Linked DNA regions of Tamandua tetradactyla. The protein of the gene in region 3 purifies or fractionates together with the protein of the main gene of each other region. This does not show direct contact. Links are inferred from orthologs where the notes say so. Each region holds a gene or a part of one and is shown on either strand. Other genes may lie near its edges.

The links. Proteins that work in one complex are often made in the same cells at the same time.
Region 1: the proteins of PRR3 (region 3) and RBMS1 purify together in Homo sapiens (co-immunoprecipitation; 3 studies listed by BioGRID and IntAct, with this or other methods). This does not show direct contact. The link is inferred for Tamandua tetradactyla from reciprocal best matches to the Homo sapiens genes PRR3 and RBMS1.
Region 2: the proteins of PRR3 (region 3) and YTHDC2 purify together in Homo sapiens (co-immunoprecipitation; 3 studies listed by BioGRID and IntAct, with this or other methods). This does not show direct contact. The link is inferred for Tamandua tetradactyla from reciprocal best matches to the Homo sapiens genes PRR3 and YTHDC2.

What each region holds. Positions count from the first base shown.
Region 1 is NC_135329.1:131,233,696-131,241,686, forward strand, and holds the start of RBMS1 (RNA-binding motif, single-stranded-interacting protein 1), read right to left. Parts: upstream 3,013-7,991; 5' UTR 2,873-3,012; coding exon 2,798-2,872; intron 1-2,797.
Region 2 is NC_135347.1:16,088,681-16,095,613, reverse strand, and holds the start of YTHDC2 (3'-5' RNA helicase YTHDC2), read left to right. Parts: upstream 1-3,921; 5' UTR 3,922-4,127; coding exon 4,128-4,329; intron 4,330-4,659; exon of another isoform or gene 4,660-4,679; intron 4,680-5,568; coding exon 5,569-5,659; intron 5,660-6,933. UniProt on the Homo sapiens protein: 3'-5' RNA helicase that plays a key role in the male and female germline by promoting transition from mitotic to meiotic divisions in stem cells.
Region 3 is NC_135331.1:85,445,604-85,453,576, reverse strand, and holds the start of PRR3 (proline-rich protein 3), read right to left. Parts: upstream 3,004-7,973; 5' UTR 2,561-3,003; exon of another isoform or gene 2,275-2,560; 5' UTR 1,935-2,274; coding exon 1,832-1,934; intron 1,130-1,831; coding exon 1,067-1,129; intron 1-1,066. Other genes in the region: GNL1 (guanine nucleotide-binding protein-like 1), read left to right, coding at 3,103-3,175, 3,591-3,756, 4,178-4,314, 4,453-4,604, 4,724-4,795, 5,846-6,053, 6,195-6,290, 6,700-6,897.

The DNA of each region.
Region 1 (7,991 bases), on a different chromosome or scaffold from region 3:
TCTAATGATTTTCCCTTTCTGTCAAAGCACACTAAGTCACATGCTCTAACACAGCCCTTGAATGTTATTGTTTCTTAATAAAATGTGGAAGTATCTATGTTGTTAGAAGAAAAATTAGCTAGTAAATTTGTCAAAACAGACTCTGATTGGATCATTAACACAAGAAGAATGATTCGAAAAGAAGTTTTTTAAAGTATAGTAGCAAAACTCATTTCCAAGTGCCATCTTAATTGGTATCGTCTATTCCTTCTAACTAAAAGAAACCACATCCATTTAATCCTTGTCACTTCAAAACAATCACATCATCTCTCCTGATTACAAGTTTAAGTTAAACATCATTTTTTAAACTACCATGCCATTGCTCAGTTTTTAATACAGTTTCCAAACAGAAGTTTCAAAACAACTCTGACTTGCAAACACACCACTGTACTTTAAACAGAGTGATGTTTTCCATCCCATATTTAAAGAAGGTTAAAACATGCGCGCAGGTGCCTGTGTGCGCATACACACACACACACACACGCACACACAGGCATGGATGATTGCTGTAGACAACAGATTCTAAGACAGTTTATTAACTCTTTGGGTAGATTAGGTAACATCTGTTTTTAAACTCATTATAAATCAAACTAAGTCTTTACTTTTTAAATTACATACGCTACTACTCTGTTACCAACAGATATGTAAGGGAGGAAAAAATGGATTAGGTGGTCCAAACTGTGTACCTAAAACCTGCATCTAGTCACTTTAAATTTTTAGGAGATGCCCCTCTCTGAGACAGAATCAAGATAATTTCTAGAAGAGGGAATTCAGATTCAATTATCAAACTTTAACACCCCGTTATGTAGGTCAAGTGAGTAGGTATACCCTTCTCAGGAAACAAAGAGATTCAGAGTAATGGGATTTCAGATTTTCATAGTCGAACAGCAGGATATGTTTTGAGAATGCCATTTACTGTAACACAATCAATATTAAATACTTTATGCAGGAAGCACTCTTTCAGAAAATGGACCCTAAAGCTTTCTGGGATCCAACCCTAATTACTAGAGTAGGCTCTTGCTGTTTGTCTCTCTCTTCAATTATTTATGGAGCAAAAAAAAGGCCAAGTGGCATTGCATTAGCTATATTAAATGTTATGTAGTTGGTTTCTAAATTACTAATGGTACATAAAAAATTACTAAGGTAAATGTGCCTGTAGAAACATGGTTTTCTTTTCTTCACCTGAGTGTATGTATTTATTATTCATATAGTTAAAATGTTGAGTGGGCCGGTCTTTAGGTACGCAGTGCTGAATAATTTAAACAGTAGCATTAAACATAAACGGCACCTAAAAGGTAGCACATTGATTACTCCCCAAAATTTTTTCAAACAACTAAATTTACAATGTAGCCCACAGAAACTAGCACTTTTCTCAATTCCCTGAAAACAAATAAGTGAGAAATACACAGAAATGAGTAATATTTGCTGTTACCACCTTGCTGCTTTGGGGCCTCCCAAAGTAAATTGGGAACGGAGATGTGTGTGAAAATGAGGCCTTTGAGTGCTAGAAATTTCTGACCTGGATGCTGACAAGATAAATACAGAGTTATGTTGTAGGTACACGACAGCATGGACCACACACATTGTAGAGAAGAAAAGCTTATCAAGGTTGAATCAGAGAGTCTTTTACCAGGCTAGAAATGCTTTGTGCCAGCAAGCAAGGCATGATTAACTTCTCAAATAAAGTTCACACACCGCATCCATACCTGATTCTTTTGTGATCTAGAAGGGCACCCTGGTGTGGAAGGAGATGCTAACTGCTGAAGAAGGCTGGTGCGACCAAGTTCTGCTCTCCGAAAGTGTCGAGAAGCTTCCAAAGTAGTGAAAAACCCACACTTTTTTTTTAAGTTCAGGGGACATCAAATTCTTCTTTTAAAAATAAGATAAACCCTTTAACAAAGTACCCAGGGTCCCTAGAAGGCAACAGCAATTTGTACGGCTACATGTCATCAGCCATGTTACCCATGAGTGTGCCAAGGCCATTGGAAATCGATCTGTGGTAAATATATAAGATGCGTTGTGGTTTTTTTTTTTTTTAAGTAAATACAAAGTCACTTTTCTTTGCACTGAAACCTGTCCATTGTCCCTCCTTTGCAAAAGCTACAGGGAAGATTAAAGGGACATCAATGAACGCTGAATGAACTTTGTCCACTTTTCTGCCCAAAACACCAGCGTAAAAGTAGAAATCAGTAACCAGGTAAAGTGCCAACACCGCACAAAGATCAGAGGCGAGGGGCGGACGCGCAGGGCCAGGGGCGGGGAGGAAAACGTCCAGTCCCCTCTCAAGCTCTAGTCACTGCGCGCGAGAGAGGTTCAGGGGCGTCCCCGGCGGGGCCGGGAACCAGAGGAGTTCCTGCTCGCTGGGCGAGGCCCGGGAGAAGGGGTCGAAAAGCCGCGCCGCCAGCGGATCCTGCCGAGGGGCGCCAGGCGTCGGCGACCAACCAGCCAGCGATCGGCGAGGGGCGTCGCTCAGCTCCGCGACCCTCCTCTGCTTCGGGCCAGGAAGGGGCTGGCGGCTCTTTCCTGTCTAGTCTCTCCCCCGCGGCTTTCTGTAACCCGATCCCCGCACTCTGCTCCCCGAGAAGCCGCCGCGCTGAGCGCAGCCCAGGCCAGAGCTATAGTTAGCAACCTTCCATCGACTCCGCGGGCTGCTGCAGCAGCGCAGCGCGCCGGGCGCCCGGCCGCGGCTCATGGGCTCGCCGCGCGTGCACCCGGAGCCCCCCTCGTCGGGCTCTCCCCACCCCCAGCGCCCCATTACCTTCGCTTGAAGATACTGGGGGTAGTAGTAGGTGGCGTACTGAGGGTACATCTGCTGTTTCCACACTTTGCCCATGAAGCTGGAAGGGAGCCTGCCGTGCAGGGTCGCGGACACTTTGGGGTTTCCAAGTCTCGATCTCTCCTGCCTCTCCCTTTCCGGCGGCGGCGGCGGCGGCCTCGGCGGCGGCGCCTTCTGCTGCTGCCGCTGCTCCACCTCCCAACCCGGACCAGACGTCCTCCTCCTCCTCCTCCTCCTCCTCCTCTTCCTCCTCCCCCTCCTCCTCCTCCTCCTTCCAGGCAGAGAGAAAGACACTGCAGAATGCAGAGGGCACCCCGGACAGCGCGCTCCCTAGGAGTTTCCTCACGGAGCCTGACTGCCCCCGGGCTGCTAAGGGCCGGCGCGCTGGCCGCGCTCAGCTGGGGCAGGCCGGCTGAGCGGGGCTGGGAGGTGATCAATACAAGCGGAAAGTGCTGCTGCGGCGGCGGCTGCGCTCGGTGCCAGGCGGCATCTGGGATGGGTGCGCCCGATGGGGAGAAGGGGAGAGGGGTTGGCGAGCCGATGCCGTGGGGGAAGGGCGGGCGGGGGGCGGGGCTTGGGCGCCGCCGAGCCCGGGACCGGCTGGAGGTGAGGGCTGAGTTTTCACCACTCCTCACCTCCCGGGCTCGCGGTTGGACCGGCGGAAACCCTGGGAGCCGAGATCGCTTTGTGTCCGAGGGTGAGGGTGGGGGTGGGGTGGGGTGGGGGGGTCGTGGTTGGGGCGGAGGGGGTGGGGAGCGTGTGCTTTTTTGGGACCCAGCTTAAGAACTGCGGAGTGGACACCTCTTCTGCTTTCGTGAGTTTTTTTGTCCGCAAACGGAAAGAGGAGGAAATCTGATTAATCTCTCACTTCCCCGCCCAATGAATTTTTTTCGCAAGGGAGAGAAAATGATTTAGTGCACAACCACAAAGCTGTAGTCAGAGCACCTGGGTTCCGTCCCCCTCCCTACCCAATCTCACCCTCAGGCCCCAACACCAATTTTCTAGGTGACCTTGGGAGGGTTAGTGTCCTTTCTTCCGTTTGTTTATCACAGATGTGAGAGGTGAAATCATGTCCCTAGACAAGGGGAGGCAAAGCTCAGACACACACACACACACACACACACACACACACACACACACACACACACACACACACACACACAGTCCCAACAAATAGATGGATCCTTCTAGGGGGAGATGCAGCAAAGAGGCAGAATGTTATTATTAGAGGACACAATGTAGACATCAGCTTTTCTCTGTCTCTTTCTAATACTGCCAGACAGTCTGTCAACTCCCACTCAGGAGAAAGGAAACTCCCTGAGTTTGGAATATTTTAAGGCCATTTTGAAAGTCATGCTGGCATATTGTTTCAGTGTGCTTCAGTGACATATAAAATCAATCTCTCTCTTTTTGCCTCCTTCCATCTCCTAATTGTTGCAGCTCTAGACAGCCCCAGATGAGCAGTGTTTCAGTTCACTACATAACTGGATATAATTTAATGGAATTAATTGGTCCCTGAAGCTCCCTGCAGAAGACTTTTATATTCTAGCTCAAAAGGAGAGATTATACCGAAATGTACAGATAGAATATGAAAGAAAGCACCCCCAAACTGGGGTTCTTGCCCAACTAATAAAATGTAATGGAAATTAACTTGTTGTTAAATAGAACTTGATTATTTTGTTTTGTCATGGGGTTTTCTGAGAGGCAGTTTTCTTGCAACAAGGTAAATTAAACTGAAATTAAATGCATTATTTTGTTAAACAGTTATGGTTTTTATATGATTACATTAAATAAAAAGGTTTAGTAAGATATTTTAAAACAATGAAACAGTGAACCAAAACCCATACTGTCTTTAAATGATTTCGACAAATATCTAAGTCATTCATGTTTGACAAAACAAAATAAGTTTATATGAGAACATGTTGGATGTGCCAGGAAGCAAATCATGCCAGATAGACAGACAGACATATAGATAGATAGACAGACAGTAGATTCAGTTACCTATATGGAAACTAAGTAGAGATCTGACATGAATTAACTTGTGTTTTAGGAGTCTGGGAGGACTTGGAATATGATTTAGAGGACAAAGGGAAGAGAAATAAGTTGAAAACTATCTCAGAACTTCTAGATTTTAGGTGATAAGGGAAATTATAAACATAGTTTGTTTTACCTACTGTTTTTTCTGGAAGATGAAAATTCAGACTGTTTTAGAAATCACATAGTAAGACCTACACATATGCAGACATTTAATTTGTGACTGAATTTGTAGTACAGAGCAGTGGAGAAAGAATGACCTGCGAAATAAAGGATATGGGGTCAATTGGCTATCTATATGGAAAAAAAAATAAAAAACAACACCCAATTTAGAGCACTGCTGCACATCGTACCAAAAGGAAAGAAACAAACAAATTTCACAAAAATTAAAGACCTAGATGTGAAAAACAAACCTATAAAGCTTTTAGAAGAGAATATAGGGGAGTATCTTTATGTCCTAGAGATAGGGAAATATTTGTTTAATAAAGATGACCCAAAGTACAAGAATGATAAATTTGACTACATTAAAATTAAGAATGTTCATTCATTGAGGGATTCTGTACAGACACTAAAAAAGCATGCTACAAATAGTTATTTATAATACATATAACTTTGAAATGGATTAATATAGAGACTATATAAAAAAGACCTTGGCATCATTAAGGAAAAGAGAAACAACCTGTTAGAAACTGATCAGAAGAAATGAGTAGGTGTTACATAGAGGAAGAAGCACAAATGCCCTGAACACATATGAAAAGATGCTCAGACTCATGAATAATAGGAGAAATGCAAATTAAAATAATAATAAGATACCATTTCACACTCACCTGATTGGCAGAAAATAAGAACTCCAAAAATATTAAGAGTAGGTGAGACTATGGAAGAGGGAGGAATATTGAAAACTCTGCTTACTGGAGGAAGAGTAAATTGGTACAGTCACTACTTAAGAAAACAGTTTGTCTTTACCCAGTTGAGTTTGCATGTGCATTACCTAGTTGTGTTTGCTTGTGCAAAACTCAGTTGTGTTTACATGTGTGCTGGTTTGAAATGATGTATGGGCTGTAGAAAAACCATGTTTTAATCCTAATCCCATTTTGTAAAGGCAACCGTTTCTTCTAATCCCTATTCAGTATTGTATGTTTGAAACTGTAATTAGATCATTTCCCTGATGATGTGATTTAATCAAGAGTGGTTGTTAAGCTAGATTAGGTAGAGGCATGTCCACCCATTTGGGTGGGTCTTGATTAGTTTCTGAAGTCCTATAAAAGAGGAAACATTCTGGAGGATGAAAGAGATTCAGAGAGAGCAGAGAATGCTGCAGCACCACAAAGCAGAGAGGCCACTAGCCAGTGCTTTGGAGATGAAGAAGGAAAATGCCTCCCGGGGAGTTTCATGAAAAGGAAAGCCAGGAGAGAAAGCTAGCAGATGACACCGTGCTCACCATGTGCCCTTCCAGTGGAGGGAGAAACCCTCACTGTGTTCATCATGTGCCTTCTCACTTGAGAGAGAAACCCTGAACTTCACTGGCCTTCTTGAACCAAGGTGTCTGTCCCTGTATGCCTTAGATTGGGCATTTCTATAGACTTGTTTTAATTGGAACATTTTCTCGGTCTTAGAACTGTAAACTAGCAATTTATTAAATTCCTCTTTTTAAAAACCATTCTGTTTCTGGTGTATTGCATTCTGGCAGCTAGCAAACTAGAACAGCATGTACCCTATGACTCAGTATTTCTACTTGTAGGTATACACTTTATAGAAACCCTTATGTATGTGCACTAAGAGAAATGTACAGGAATGCTTATAACAACATTGTTTATAATACACTTAAAATGAATGTCTATCAACACTTGAATGAATAAAATTTATATATATATGTATATGTATGTGTATATATATATATATGCAATGGAACACAGTGCAGGAGTGAAAATGAATAAACTATAGTTCAGAGTATGAACATGGATTATTTCCAAACTGATGTTGAAAACAAAAAAAATTCAACAGAATATATAAAGCATGATTCAATTCATATTATGTTCAAATACTGAAAAAAATAACTAAACAGTATTTTGTGTAAAAATAGGTATGTGAGTAGCAAAAGTGATAAAGGAAAATAGACAAATAATAACAAAAGTCCAAATAGCAGTTATTTCTGAGGAAGCAGAAGGATGAGTTGATCAGGGAGGGATTCCAAGAGATTTCTGAAAATGATAATATCCTATGTTTTGCTCTGGATTTTAATACACAAGAATGTATTTCAATATTTTAAGTGGTTCTAGACCCTTTCTTATGTTTATTTTACAGTAAAAACATTTTTAAACAAAATCAGCTTTTTCAGCTTGTTTTGATAATTTTCAAACACAACAGCAGAGAAATAGAATTATCACCCCTCTGTTCCTAACACCCAACTTCAACATTTATCATCATTTTGTCATTCTTGTTTCACACACACACTCACTTTTTTTTTCCTGGAGTATTTTAAGGCAAATCACAAACATAATATCATTTTACCTGTAGCTATGTGTCTCTAACAAATAAGAACTTTAAAAAAAAGCATAACCACAATACCATTATCACATCTAACAAAACCAACAATAATTTAACCTCAGCCAGTATCCAGTTTTCTTCATTTTTCTCTGATTGTTTCAAAATTAGCTTTTTGAATTGATTTCTCTGAGTAAGGATGAAACAATGTCTGCACTTTGAATTAGATTAATATATCTCATACCTTTTTCAAATATATAAATGTTCTCCAACCCACTTTAACTTGATATTTATTTATTAAACAAACCAAGTCACTCATCCTACAGAATTTCCTCCATTGTTGATTGCAACCTCTAGAGGCTTGATTAGCTACAGGTTCACTTTTTGGGGGCAAAGAATACTTTATAGTTGGTGCTAAATATATATAGGTGAGGTGATGCACATCAAATCAAGAAGTACCTAATGTCTGGTAGTCTCACTTTTAGTGATGTTAATTAAGATTGATTGGATGTTCAGGTATTATCAGTGTGATTTATTTTTACAATTCTCCATCAACAATTCATAGGCTAGTTTTCACTCATTCATGTCTGTCACTTCAATCTCTTATTTCAATAGGGTTTACAAAATTGTGGTTTTTGTAATTGTAGCATTTCTTCTG
Region 2 (6,933 bases), on a different chromosome or scaffold from region 3:
AGTGTGGCTGAGGGCCATGCACATGTGCATTTCTAGTACTGCTGTGAGGTATGGCTCTCAGAGCTGAAAGACGTGATTGGGGGTCCGTGCACATGCGTGGGCCTAGGAGTACCATAGACTGATGTGCGGAGCTCAGGCTGGGATGGGTGAGGCTGTGCTGTATACTATGGGCATGGGGTCAGGAGGGCAGGGGTAGCCTGTGTATGGAGGTTATGGCAATAGCCTGCAGGGAACAGGGAGGGGGAGCTAGTGCTCAGAAGGCTGCACTTGGGGTGGGGGTGTAGTGCAGTTACGTGCACTGGGGGTTCATGGGGTGGGGGTGCCTGGAGTGCAGGGAATGGGAGCGGGTGATGGGGTTTGGGTGCGTGAGGTGTAAGGTGAGTTGCCAGTCATGGGGCTGCGCTAGTGAGGGCAGTGTGCCCAAGGAATGCAGTCTGGCTTACTTCCTATTCCCCAGCTCCTGTCTGGGCACTCCTGTGGACTCCGCACCTTTGCGCCAGGCTCTAGCTTTCTGCCCCTCAGTTCCTCAGCCTCTATAATTTTTTTTATTCTAAGAATATACAAATGGAGTCACACAGTTTGCAATATTTTGATATTGGCTTTTTCAGTCAGCATAATTTCCTTGAGAGGTATTCAAATTGTTGCATGTATCAGTAGCTTGTTCTTCTTATTGCTGAGTAGCAGGCCGTGGTATGGATGTACATTTGTTTATTAACCCATTCACCCATTGAAGGACATTTGAGTTGTTTCCATTTTTTAGCTATTACAAATAAACTGCTATGAATATTTACATAGCAAATGCCCAAGGGCGCAGAGTGCTATTACTGGATTTTTTTACAGTTTTGTAAAAAAACCCTGCCATACTCTTTTCCAGAATGGCTATACTATTTTACATTCCCACTAGCAATGTATGGGTGACCCAGTTCATTCATAAATGCCAGCATTTGGCATTATCACTATTTTTTATTTTAGTCAAAATGAGACAGTACACAGAACTATCTCATTTTGGTTTTACTTTGCTCTTCCCTAATGGCTAATGATGTGAAAATCTTTTCACATGCTTATTTGCCATCCCTTATTACTTGCTATGAGAACTCCCCTAGGTGACCAACTGCTTCAGAAAAGACCACACTTCCTATGGTAATTCTCTTTCTCTTTGAGAGTGATTGGTTGAGAGTTAGGCATGTTCTGGCTAAGAGACATGAGAAATGTTTACTGCAGGACTTCTGGAAAAAGTTTTCACTCTCTTAAAAAGAAACACCTGAAGGGAATGCATTTTTTTTTTTTTTTTTTTTGTAGTTGTGCTCACACAACTTGGTGCTGTGTGATGATGGGATTTCTTGGGGCTCCTGATAAAAGTGTGTATGGTGGACACTCTAAGAATGGGAGAGCAGTAAACTGGAAAGATCTTAGTTCATTGAGGGCATTGTTGTACTGGAACAACCCTACGTTAGGCTTCTTATTATATGAGATGATGAACAGCTTTATTTTGGGGCCAATTTTGCTTGGCTTTTCTGTAGCCTGAAGCCAAAAACATCCTAACTAGTATTGCATGCTAAGGGTTAAGCCAGGAATTTTAATAAGGATTTCATCTACATAAAGGTAATTTAATCTAATTTAAACTGCATAATAATCCTGGGATGCAGGTGTTTTTATCCTACACATTTTACTAGTGGGGAAACTGAATTCAAGTCTTAGGTCTGTTTGATGCTAAAGATAGCTTGAAATAATTTATAAATATTCTGTGCTTTCCCTATCTTCAATTTTTCTCTGAAACACATGTAAAAAGTAGAATTGTAGTGTATCACTCTAAGCACCCAGAAAGTTCCAACGGCATTTCAAAATATTAGAGAATGTAGAATATGATCAAGATTGTATTTTATGGCTATGCAACTTCAAGAAGTCATTATTCTCTTTCATTTCAATTAACATGTCATGGCACTAGGGATACAAACATTTAGACATTTATCCAAAGAGCAAGGTAAGAAGGCAGGAAATATTATTCTGTGAGTGCTAGGTACTTAACATCTATTATGTTATATTCACATATATATATATCCATGAAGTGAGTGTTAAATATACTCATTAATAGAGGAGAAAATGGAATCTCTGAGGGTATAAGTAAGTAGCTTAAGCCACAAAGGTAAGAAATTGATGGGGCCAATAAATGGTGGAACTCAGATGTGGTGGAGTGAGAATTGAAAGAAATATGTGGCTGACACTGTGCAAAATGTTTTCCGTTTAATCACAATATATTTGGTGCATACAAATATCATTTTCCTTCTATGTTTTGTCCTGGAATGAAGCTGGGCTTCATGATCAGCTGGGGCTAGTTTACATCCCTACGCCAGTAATTACCAACAGGGTGGCTTTAAATAATATGTTTAACCTCATTTAGCCTCAGCTTCCTCATTTGTATCACAGGGTAATATAACAACTTCATATGCTTTTGTTAGGATTAGGGAAAATAAAGACAATGCCCCTGGGAATTTAATAAATGGCAGGTATTATTTTCGCACAGTTGAAGAAATTTGGATACACAGAGATCAAGCTTGTAATAAACGTTCATAGAATTCATTGGTGACCACACCAGGACCTATTTCTGCTTGTCCAGAATTCTTTGTAGTAGTGGTAGCCAATCAGAGATTAGGACCTCAAAGATTATGATGAAAGCTTTCTGGAGGCAGATTCTTAATCTTAATTCCAGATAATAAAATATGGCCTACAAATAAATATTTTTTTTGCAGGCGTATGAGGTTCTAGTTGCTGATGATACAATGACAAGATAAATTAAGGAGCTTATATTCTAGTGGGAAGAGAAAAAAAATATTGAAACTGGTAAGCGATAACAGGTTAATATGAGACAGCCTGTCTAGGCAAGGACTAGGATCCCACTTTAGATTATAAGAAACGGACATCTAGGTAAAGTTCTGGGATGAAGATTTTCCTTTGCAGGAGGAAAGTATGCAAGTAGAAAGATCCCTTGATGGTAGTGGGCTTGGTGTGGTTAACGAACAGAAAGAAATTTTGCATCTGAGCATTGTAAGTGACAATAAAAGTGGAAAGGAATGTGCTCATGGAGGTAGGCTAGCGCCAGTTTAGGTATAGTCTTGAAGTAAGGAGCTCAGTGTTTGTTCTTGTAGCGCTAGGGAGCCACTGGACAACTTTATGTGAGATGTGTGGTCCTACAGATTGTTTATCTTTAAGAGAAAACTCTGGTTGCTCTGTGATGAATGGATCACAGAATACCAGAGTGGAAGCAGTTTAGGGTGGCTAGGATTAGGTTTATGTTAGTGGGATTGCATATAAGCAAATGGAAGGACTCATAAACTTTCCCGATTACACAAACTAAAGGGTCGCACCTCTTCATTCCATCGCATCATATAGCATTTATCACTATCATTTAATGATTTCCTTGTTTATTGTCTGTCACCCCTGTTTAGGTTTGCCAGATGAAATGCAGATGCCCAGTTGAATTTGAATTTCAGATACACAACAAATAAATTTTTAGTGTATGTATGTGCCAAATATTGCATGGGAAATACACAAAAAATGTATTCCTTTTTTTTTTTGTATTCCTTGTTTATATGAGATTCAAATCAACTGGCCATCCTGTATTGTTATGGGCTAAATTTGGTAGCCCTACGCCCACCATAATATGAATTCTCTGAGGGCAAGGATTTTGTCTGTCTTGTTTCCCAAAGTATATCTAAGGCCTAGCAAAGTGCTGGGCACATAGGAGCGCATGCGTGGTTACTGAAAGAATGAAGGATTAAACAAAATAAGTTAATTAAAAAATGAACGAGAGCCCACGAAAGGGGAGAACGGTCAGCATTAGCTTGGTGTGACAAGGCCGAGAGGAAAGGGGCAGGCGACACGCTGAGGTCACGTGCGCCGGCGGTCCTGGTGACGTCATCACGCCCGCGCTCCGGGTCTAGCCGGTGCTTCAGCTGCGTCGGTACTTCCTCAGCTGTGCAGACCCGCGGCTTTGTCGTTCACCCAGACCGCCACAGGCTGTCTGCGAAGCCGTCCGGCCGGGCGTTGACCCCGGAGCCCCACTGTCCCTGTCGGCCGCCAGCAAGCAGGCCAGAGCCGCTTCTTCGCGGGGAGAAAATCTCCTCAGGACCATGTCTAGGCCGAGCAGCGTCTCCCCGCGGCCCCCGGCTCCCGGTGGCGGCGGCGGCGGCGGCGGCGGAGTGGGTGGCCCCTCGCAGTGTGGGCCTGGGGGCGGCGGCCGGGCCAAGGGGCTGAAAGACATTCGAATCGATGAGGAGGTGAAGATCGCAGTCAATATCGCCCTGGAGCGCTTCCGATACGGGGACCAGAGAGGTGAGGTTCCTGACAGGCACCCTGCTGGCTGGCGTCCCCCCACAAGTCCGAACCTACGGAGAGAGCCGGCTGCTCCCGTCCGGCCTCAGAGGAGGGAGGATGAGTCTGGGCCGCGCAGCCGAATCCACCCGAGTGAGCCGGTGACCTCCCAGCTCCAGCTAGGTCGGGGGCCTGGACCGCGGTTGTTAGCCCTCTTGTGGGATGTGAAGAACCGCACCATGTCCTGCGGATCAGGGTACCTGCCTGGCAGGAGAAGATGGAAAGATCAGGTTGCTACCCATCCTGGAGGCATTTCTTTCCTCAGGAAGAGGCCCTTCGGAGGCCTCGGGCGGTTAAGCCGCCGTTTTTAGGTATTGGTAACCCCCCCCATCTTCTTTTCTTTTTAAACAAAAGGGAGTTATAGCCTTAAGTGAGGCTCTTTTAGAACAAAAGGAATCCAGGTATAAATAAATGATCTGGCAATGTGTAGAGCTTTGTTCAAATCTTAGAAACATTTCGCTAAACACAACTAACTTGCTGCGGCATACAAAGCGTCTTCCACGGTTCTTAGAATTAGAGAGCTACTTGACTTGGGTCACATAATACACAATCAGCAGCCGACCTGAGGTGATCTGTACAATCGTACACTGAGTGCCCCTTCATCTGCTGGTTTAAACAGGGGACTCCTTACTCTGGAGGCGCACTGTCCAAACAAAGTGGACAGAATGATTTTGAATTTACTTTAAAGAAGGATGAAAGTCTCAGCAATATATAACAACAAAATAGTCGGTCTAAAATAGTGAAATATGAGTCCTATAATTTCAAAAGCAAAGAAAATGGAGTTTGATGTTGAACGTTTACAATGCTTAAACTTACATCATCATTGAGGGAAATGAACATTTTGTTAATTAAGCAAGAGCTTATTTAAAATGGTGAAATATGCCCATCAGTCGTTATATTAAGTCAAGGTTCCAGCACAGCTAAGAGGAGTAATCTGTGATGAACACCAGAGTCTTTTATCGCATTTAGATTTAATATGTGGAAGCCTTTTTATTAATATCCGAGTTCTAGTAGCCATTCAGTAGTTACTGAATTAATATCTACCCATCCATGAATTGTGTAAGAATAAATGTGATTGTATGCTTTTATGGTTTTTTTCCTCATATTTTACATGTGTGTAAGTATTGAAGTGCATTGAAAGAAAATTAACTATTCAGAAATGGTATTGGCTAATTTGTGTGTTTTTTTTTTTTCTTGTAGAAATGGAATTTCCTTCTTCTTTGACCAGTACTGAAAGAGCTTTTATTCATCGACTGAGTCAGTCTCTTGGTTTGGTCTCTAAAAGTAAAGGGTAAGCGAAAATAACAAAGAAATATATCTAAATGCATTTAAATAGTTATTGTTTTAGATTCACAGTCTTAATTATATTGTATGTAGATAAACTGATTTAGGTCTGTACCTAGTTCAGCTCTCTCTTCCTCCTATCCCCTTCTCTAACTCTTTTTTGCTAAGGGCAATAATAATACTAATAACAAAAATAAGGCAAAATTTTGAATTTAAGCAAAAATAGTTTAGAAATTAAGTTGCTTGCTTGAGAAAAGTATTTTCCTTTTTGATAGACACTAAATATCTCCTTTTTAAATAATGGTTGGACAGAAAACTACAATTATTTACAGAACTTAACTCTTTTAATGTTACTGAATGTAATGTAAGCTTTAGAACACATTTATTGTTTTCTTTTCTACTAAGTCAAGAGTCTGATGATTAGAAATAAAGTACTATGGAAGTAAACAATATATATATTTATATATTTTGGTGTCACTGCTCCATGTGGGAAAAAAGTCAGTTGAGCCATCCAAATGTAAGAACTCTTAATATTCTGTGCAGTTATTTCATTTTGGGAATAGGGATGATTGATGGGCTTGATACTTTCTCAGTTTTGCACAATTGATATTTTGGGCTGTGTAATTCTTTGTTGTTTGGGTTTTCCTGTGCATTGTAGGATTTTTAGCAGCACATCTGCTTCTACCCAGAAGATGACAGTAACACCCCCATTCCCAGTTGTGGCAACCTAAAATGCCTCCAGACGTTTCCAAATGTCCCCTTGAGGGCAAAATCGTCCCAGTTTAGAACCACTGATATGAAGAAAATTTTAGCTTATTTGTTTTTAGGTTAAGAAAAGGGAAAATAAAACTTTGAGTAAATATATTATTAATTTTATATGTGTACACACATGTGGACACATGGATACATACAGATATAACTTACGTAGGAATGAGTAGAAAGCTCCTAGAATGAAAGGAGCTAATGTAGGAATGAATACCTTGTATGTAATGCTCACAACAGTGATACGTTACTGAGGCATGGAATTTAGCTTAGGTGAATGTGTGTTTTGAGCATACTAGAGCTAGTACTGGAATGTTAGTAGGTGCTGAGCTTACCTATATTACAGTAGGTATAGTATACCTGTACCTATTGTATATCTGTATTATTCTCACTATGTAGGTGAAATATTGCACTTGAAAACACAAATACAGCACATAGCCACAATCCTTTAACTAAACACCTGGGCCATATATGTTTTGAGATTCAGATTTTAGGAAGATATGGCACAATTTGTCATAT
Region 3 (7,973 bases):
ATGTCAAACATTTTTTTATCTCAAAGTGGTTGCACTAATTTACACTCCCACCAGCAATCGTTCTGTATCCTAGACAACACTTGGTATTGTCAGTCTTTTCTCATTGTAGCCGTTCTGGTAAGTATGAAAAGTGGTGTGTCTTTAACTTGCATTAATCTAATGACTTATGATGTTAAGAACTTGCTCACATGTTTATTGGGCATTTAGATCTCCTCTTTTAGAAGATGATTATTCTGATTTTTTGCCCTTTCCCTAACTAGTTATCTGGAAGAATTCTTTATATATTCAACATATATTCTCTTTACGGTTATATAAGTTACAAATATCTTCTCTCCTCTATGGTCCCCTTTTAAATTCTTAATAGTGTCATTTAATGAACAGAAGCCTACATCTTTTAATGTAATTCAATTGATCAGTCTTATTTTGATAATTAATATGAGTCTGTCTTCTAGAAGTATTATTTTATTTTTCACACTTTGCTCTGCAATCCACATGGAATTGATTTTTGTGTATGGTATGATAGGAGGTCAAGTTTTCATTTCTACCTCACATAAACAACCAATTGATTCAGCATCATTTACTGAAAAGACTGCATTTCAGTGTCCCCTGCATAAATTAAGTTCATATGTGCAGACCTATTACTGGATTCTCTATGCTGTTCTTTTGACTTATATGCCTGTCAATGTGCTAATGTCACAGTGGCATAAATAATCTTGACAATAAATCTTGACATTCAGTGTAAGCCCTCCCACTATTCTTCAAGATTGTCTTGGCAGTTTCTCACTCTGACTCTTTGCATTGCCATACAAAAATAAAGAATGTTTATTTCCACAAAAAAAAATCTAAGAATTCTGACTAGGAAGGCACTGAATCTATAAATCTATTTGGAAAGAACCGACATTTTTACAATGATCACTTTTCTACTCTATGAATATACAAAACTTCTCCATTTATTTAGGTATGGAAGCCTTGATCTTTTTATTTTAAGTCCCCACTCTCACTCCCGGTTTTACTCCCTCCCTTTTCTCCAGGGTTTAATCCAGAATTAGATCCCCTTCCTTCTCACCTGACTTGGGGTCACCAGGCTTTCCATTGGCCATGGGGGGAGTGCCCAGAAGGCTAGGTGGTCCTGAGAGTAGACATGAAAATATGGTCATCAGAATGGACTAAATAAAGGACTGATGATCCTGTTCTTCTATGTTTCTCTTCAGTACACATTTCCTACTCCAACTGTTAAAACTAGGTACATTCTCAGCAGTGTTGCAGAGTTCTCATCTTATCTATCTGCCACTGCAATGCTTGTTCAGGATTTGCAAAACGTAGAGGCATCTCTGGGGGATGTCTTTCCCTTATAATGTTGCTATCCAAAACATCACCAATTCTTCCAGAGGTAATCCAGTCACTCGCCTTAAACTGTTGGCCAATCAGGTGGTTGTCTTCTCCTCCCCGCCCATGCACCCCCCCACCCCTTCAGAGAAGGCCAAACTTTCACTTCCAATTGTGAAAGTGTGTTCACAAATTATTTTCCCATTCATCTAAATTTGCAACCTCTGTACAACCCCTCTCACTCCTTGTATTGCGGCTGCGCACAAAAATTCTTTATCCTCTCCTCCCTTGCCCTCCCTAGAAAGGTTTGTGGGCCGAACTGAGGTTTAAGGTTCAAATACGAGAACTCATTCAGGGTTCTATCCCGGATAGAACCTCTACCTCAATGCTTGCAACCTTCCTCCTTCCGTTAGACGCCCACCCCCCTCCCCAACTGGTGTCATTCTATTGCCCCTCGCCCAGACGCGTTGACTGACATGTGCAACACCCCTTCTGGGCTCCTCACCGATAGGACTCCCGTCCTCCTCGTCTCCAGTCTCGTCTCGCTCTGGCAGTGGGGTCTGTGGCGGGTGTGGCTGCTGCTGATTCTGCTTCTTTCGCTTCGGCATCGTGGCTGCGGCAATGGCTGCAGCGGGATTTGGAGGGCAGTGAGAAAGGGGCACACTAAGATTCTGTTTCCGCTTCCGGGAAGGTTGGTGGACAGCGAGGATGAGGCTCCCGCCATTTCACTTCCGGAAGGCTGCAGGGAACCTTTACTGTAGCTCCATTCTCACGTAAACTGCCTCCCTTCGTCTTTACTAAACATGGCGCCAATGCAGAGTATTCTCTTTGCTGCGTTTCTATATAGTCTTAAAAAAATTTTTCCTCTCTTCTCCCGCGGGAAAAAAGCCAACATATCCAGCTCCTCCCGGCGTGTCACAGCGTGGAGAGCCTTTTGAGCCAGAAGGCCTGGGAAGAAAGAGACGTCGCACCCTGTGATCGCCACATCCGGTCCCCTGTTACTATGGTAACAGCGGCAGTCACAACTTCATGCCCTCTGACCTCCCCCCAAAAGTCCTTGTCCCATTTGGGTTCCTTTCTCGCTCGCGTTTGCACTCATGATCTGTAAATCTGCTCCTTATCCTCGTTCTTAGAAGGAATTTGGGTCTCACCAGGGCGGCGCCCAGGAAGGACCCTTCAGGCCGCCGCCCGCCCCACATGACCTCTGACCCTGCCCCCAGCGTAACCCAGCAACCTGGTTTCTTTCCTGGGACGCTCAGTCTGGGCTTTCTACTAAGGTCAAGTTCCCGAGTTGGTAAGGTAGCTTCCGCGCGTCCACGTTCCCCTCTCCCGCAACGCTGCCCCTCTCCCGTCCTCCGCTCCGCCCCTCCTCCAGGTGAGTGGTAGCTTCTCCTCGGCGCGCAAGGTAGTGATGACACGCGTCCCCCCTTCTCCGAACGCAGGTTGGTAGCGTCCGTGACGAAGTCTGCCCGATCCTCCCACGCGCGCCTCCAGCCTTGCCGCCCCTGCGCCGTCAAAGCGCCGCTAGTTCTCCTGTGGAGGTAGCCCACCCCACATCATTTTCTCGCCTCGCTCCCAGAGGGCAGTGACTGAATTTCCCCCTGTGCGCTTTTCTCCCGGGCTGCCACGGCGAGTCGGTGGGGCCCGCCCGCTGACGTCACCGGGTAGCCCCGCCCCCTCTAGGGTCCTGGGCCCTTGCGGCGGGGGCTGCCCAAAGAGTGTCAGTTGAGGCGGCGAGAGCTCGGCTGAGGGCGGGCCAGGTGGCTGGTCCGGGCCATGCCGAGGAAGAAGCCCTTCAGCGTGAAGCAGAAGAAGAAGCAGTTGCAGGACAAGCGGGAGCGGAAGCGAGGTCAGTGCAGGAGCGGGAGGAGGGGGCGGGGCTCCGGAGCCGCACATCTGTAGGGAGGGGTGTGCCCGCCGCACCTCTGGGGGGCGTGGGAGGGGCGGTGGGCGCGCGCCGACACGCGCGGGCCACTGCGGATGGGATTCCCCCACCTCAGCCCTCTCTTACAACTGGAAGGGGTGGAGAAGCATGGGGAGTTGGGGGAGGGGAATTCCTCCAGCACCAACGGGGCGTCAGGCCCGCAGCTCTCTAGAGTGACTCCCCCCCACGCACATCCGGCAGGGTCCCAAGCAGCTTGGCTCGGACTACCGGACCTCGAAAGAAGTGGGGTGGGGTGAGAGGGAGCCATGCCACCTGGGGAGGGGTTCATATAGCTCCTGGAGAGCTGGCCGGCCCCAGCGTCACCAGCCCCTCCCCGCAGGGCTTCAAGATGGGCTACGCTCCAGTTCCAACAGTCGCAGCGGGAGCCGGGAGCGGCGGGAGGAACAGACTGACACCTCAGACGGAGAGTCTGTGACCCATCATATCCGCAGGCTCAACCAGCAGCCTTCCCAGGGGCTGGGTCCACGAGGCTATGACCCAAATCGGTGAGGGTGGGCCGAGGGCTGGCCAGGTCTTCCCCACCCACCTGGAAGTTGGACCGAAGGTTTGGGGGTGGGAAATGGGCTGCTGCTGGTGGAGACTTGAAAGTGGAGGAGGCGGGGCAGGGATGCTACAGATTTTCCCAGGGTGGGTATGTAGGTGGGTGGAGGGTCGCTGAGCTCCCCTGAGCCAGCCACAATCCTGTCTTCCAGAGAGGGCGGAGAGAGTTTGATTTCCAGAAGGGTGAGGCATAGGGGAAGGCTGCATATGTCGTGAAAGAGGGACTAGGGGGAAGGCAAATTGAGAAAGAAAACTCGAACAACTTGAGGAACAGCTTTGAGAAGTTGTCCACCCCAGAGGGGAAAAGACTGGAATTTGTAGTCACAGGATCTATAGTGTTGGATACCTTGGTTCCTGTCCTCTTAGATACCGGCTGCATTTTGAGCGAGACAGCCGGGAGGAGGTGGAGAGGAGAAAGAAGGCTGCCCGGGAGCAAGTGTTACAGCCTGTCAGTGCTGAGGTGCTGGAGCTGGATATCAGGGAAGTCTATCAGCCTGGCTCTGGTGAGTAAGATCTCAACACTTGGATATTGAAGGAGCTTGGATGGGTAAGAGCTGACCATCATGAAGGAGTGGTCTGGGATGCACTTCAAGTCCTGAAGCTATCCTCATACTTACTTGGACTTTTTCCTGGTTTCCTAGTTCTGGACTTTCCCCGACGTCCTCCTTGGAGCTATGAGATGTCCAAGGAGCAACTAATGAGCCAGGAGGAACGGAGCTTCCAGGAGTATCTTGGGAAGATTCATGGAGCTTACACTTCTGAAAAACTTAGCTACTTTGAGCACAATCTGGAGGTAAGACGGGCACAGAGACAGGAGTGAGGCATAGTCCACCCATGGTCAAGTTGGCTTGGGGTCAGGAGAAAGAAGGACTCTGGGTCCAGGTTCTCTTCTACCATCTCTTGTCTTTTCAGACATGGAGGCAGCTGTGGCGGGTGTTAGAGATGTCTGACATTGTCCTGCTCATCACTGATATCCGACATCCTGTGAGTACTGAGTATAAGGGTGGGTGGGGGTAGCAAAGTTCTGTGGGGTAAAGGTCAGAGGCAGGAGTTGGGAGACAGAGAGGCATCCTTCTTCCTTCTCAGATTTCTCTCTCACTTGCTGATGTGTGCAGTCAGGGACCAATTCTTTATTCATCTTTTGTCATGATTTACCACTCCTCCCCAGGTCATCTGTCTTTATCTTTCTCCACTCCCTTTGACAAAGAACTATGTCTCTTGTCTCCTACCTCATGAGAGCTAAACCAAAAGAAAGTCCCAGGGGATTCTGTAGAGATAGCTGGGAACTTCCTTCACACCACCCAAAGATGTCCTTTTCTCCTTCCTTAATTTCTCTAGCACTGCCACGTCAGACACTATGGAACTTAGTATCACCTGGAATGCTACAGTAGTGATTAAGGTTATAGAATCTGGTGCTCAACTACCCTTGTGCAAATCCTGGCTTTTTCACTTCACTCTTGTCCTCCAGTCAGAGAATGGGAGGTCTGTGGGGACATTTAGGTTGAGATCTTTAACAACATGTACTCACATATTCCTACATACACCCTCACAAATACATGCATATGTGCATGTGCATATCTATACACATAGGCATATTTACACACACAGTTACACACACTTAATGGAAACATGCAGGCCCTAAATGCAAACACATGTTTACATACACATGCACTCTGTATGCACATGTACAGACTTATACAAGTTGAATGCATGAGTGAAATGAATGAAAACATTTCTACTCCCATCCTCTATCCTTTGTTCCTGGTCTTGGCCTTTCCCTCAGTGTGCTGAGTGTTGCAATTTCTTTATCTTGATTTTGGGTCACCTTTGTCACTAATCATGAACTGCAGGAAGCCTGCCAGAAACTCATGCACAGATGTTACTAGTCCCTGTTAGAGCTTTCCTCAGTTTGACTGATTTACCATTTTTACCCCTGAATTTGCTACCTCCAGGGTAGCAGATTGTCTCTGAGCTGGAGGTAGAGGATCCTCAGTTCACCTCTCATGACTCCATCCTCTTATCAACCCATCTCAGGTTGTGAATTTCCCACCAGCACTTTATGAGTATGTGACTGGAGAACTTGGACTGGCCCTGGTGCTGGTACTGAACAAGGTGGATCTGGCCCCGCCAGCTCTTGTAGTTGCCTGGAAGCATTATTTCCACCAACACTACCCCCAGCTCCACATCGTCCTTTTCACATCTTTCCCTCGGGATCCCCACTCCCCACAGGACTCTAGTAGTGGTGAGTAGGCAATAAAAAAGCAATGTGGGAGAGTTGGGGTGGGTGTGGGAGGAGGGGAGAACAAATGGACTTGTTGACGAGGGTAGGAAAGATGGAATGTGGAAACCTGTGTGCTAATCCTTTTGTGCCTTCTGACCTCAGTCTTAAAGAAGAGTCGGAAGCGGGGGAGAGGATGGACTCGGGCCTTGGGACCAGAGCAGTTGCTGAGAGCCTGTGAAGCCATCACTGCTGGGAAAGGTATGTGTCTCTTAGAGGAGGGCCATGGGAGAGACCCAAGATCCAGAGTCATTTTGCTCACCTTTCTAGAAGTCTACGTTTCTATTATAGACCCTCAAGAGAGGCCAGAGGAAGGGATGAAATAGGGAGCAAACTAATTTGGTGGGACAAGTAGGGCAGCGGGTAGGCAGGAACCTCAGTGGCTTGCTGCCTTCAGTCTTCCGTGTACTCTTCAGAAACCCAGGCAGAGAAATGCAGACGATTCCAGGGCTGAGATCAAGTAAAAGCTGGGGAGAGTCTCTGGACCACTGTTGTGCAGGTTGGGCATGATACAACTCCACAGGGCACTGATTACATCAGAGCTGTGCAGTATACCATCTGTCACCGTACAGCAGCCATGGAGAGACCCTCCTTTCTCTTCTTCCCTGAGCAGTGGACCTGAGCAGCTGGCGGGAGAAGATGGCTCGGGATGTGGCTGGGGCCACCTGGGGTAATGGCTCTGGGGAGGAAGAGGAAGAGGAGGATGGGCCAGCAGTCCTAGTGGAGCAGCAGACTGATTCAGCGATGGAGCCAACTGGCCCAACCCGGGAGCGCTACAAGGATGGAGTGGTGACCATCGGCTGTGTGGGTAAGGAGGCAGCAGCCTAGGCATGGTGGCCTCCAGGGAGGTACAGAATTTCAAGCTTTTACCAGGAGGAAAAGTGACAGGCCTTATTAGTTTCCAGGGCCTTTGAGGGGGCAACTTCCGCCAGTTTTTGTGACAAGGAGGCCATCTGCTATAGTGGATGGATCATGAGGATGCTTGAGTTCAATTCTACTTCCCAGCTGTATGATCTTTTTTTAATTTTTAACTTTTAATTTTGAAATAATTTCAAATTTGCAGGATATTTACAATAATACAAACTCCCTACAGTGAACTCTACCATCCCGCCCTCCCCATACCCAGATCTACCAATTTTAGCTCATTACCCCCTTTCCCCTCCCCTCCTTTCCTCCTCCCCTTCCTGCCTTCTGTTTCTATCTCTATCTCAAGCCATCTATTTTCTGAACATTTAAGAGCAGGTTGCCTTGAGCACATAGTATTTCCATGTACATTTTCTGTGAACAATGCTGTTTACTTATGTGATCACCTTAAGTGTAGTTATCAAGTTCAAGAAGTTTAACATAAAGCTTACATTCCATATTCCAGTTTTTTCTTATGTCCCAATAATGTCCTTTTTTAAAAAAAATATTTTCATTGTAAACCTTAACAAACAAACATAAACATGTTTGACATGCAAACATTCTATACATGGTGTGCAATCAGCAGCTCACAATATCATCACATAGTTGTGTATTCATCACCACGATCAATTTTTTGAACATTTGCATCTCTCAAGCAAAGGAAAAAAGAAAAAACTCATACATGCCTTACCTCTCCCTCTCATTGACCACTAGTATTTCAATCTACTCAGTTTATTTTAACCTTTGAGCTCCCTATTATTTACTTTTTATCCATATTTTTTACTCATCTGTCCATACCCTAGATAAAAGAAACATCAGACACAAGGTTTTCACATTCACACAGTCACATTGTAAAAGCTTTATTATTATACAATCATCTTCAAAAAACAAGGCTACTGGAACACAGCTGTACAGTTTCAGGTACTTCCCTCTAGTCACTCTAATACACCATAAACTAAAAAGGGATATCTATATAATGTG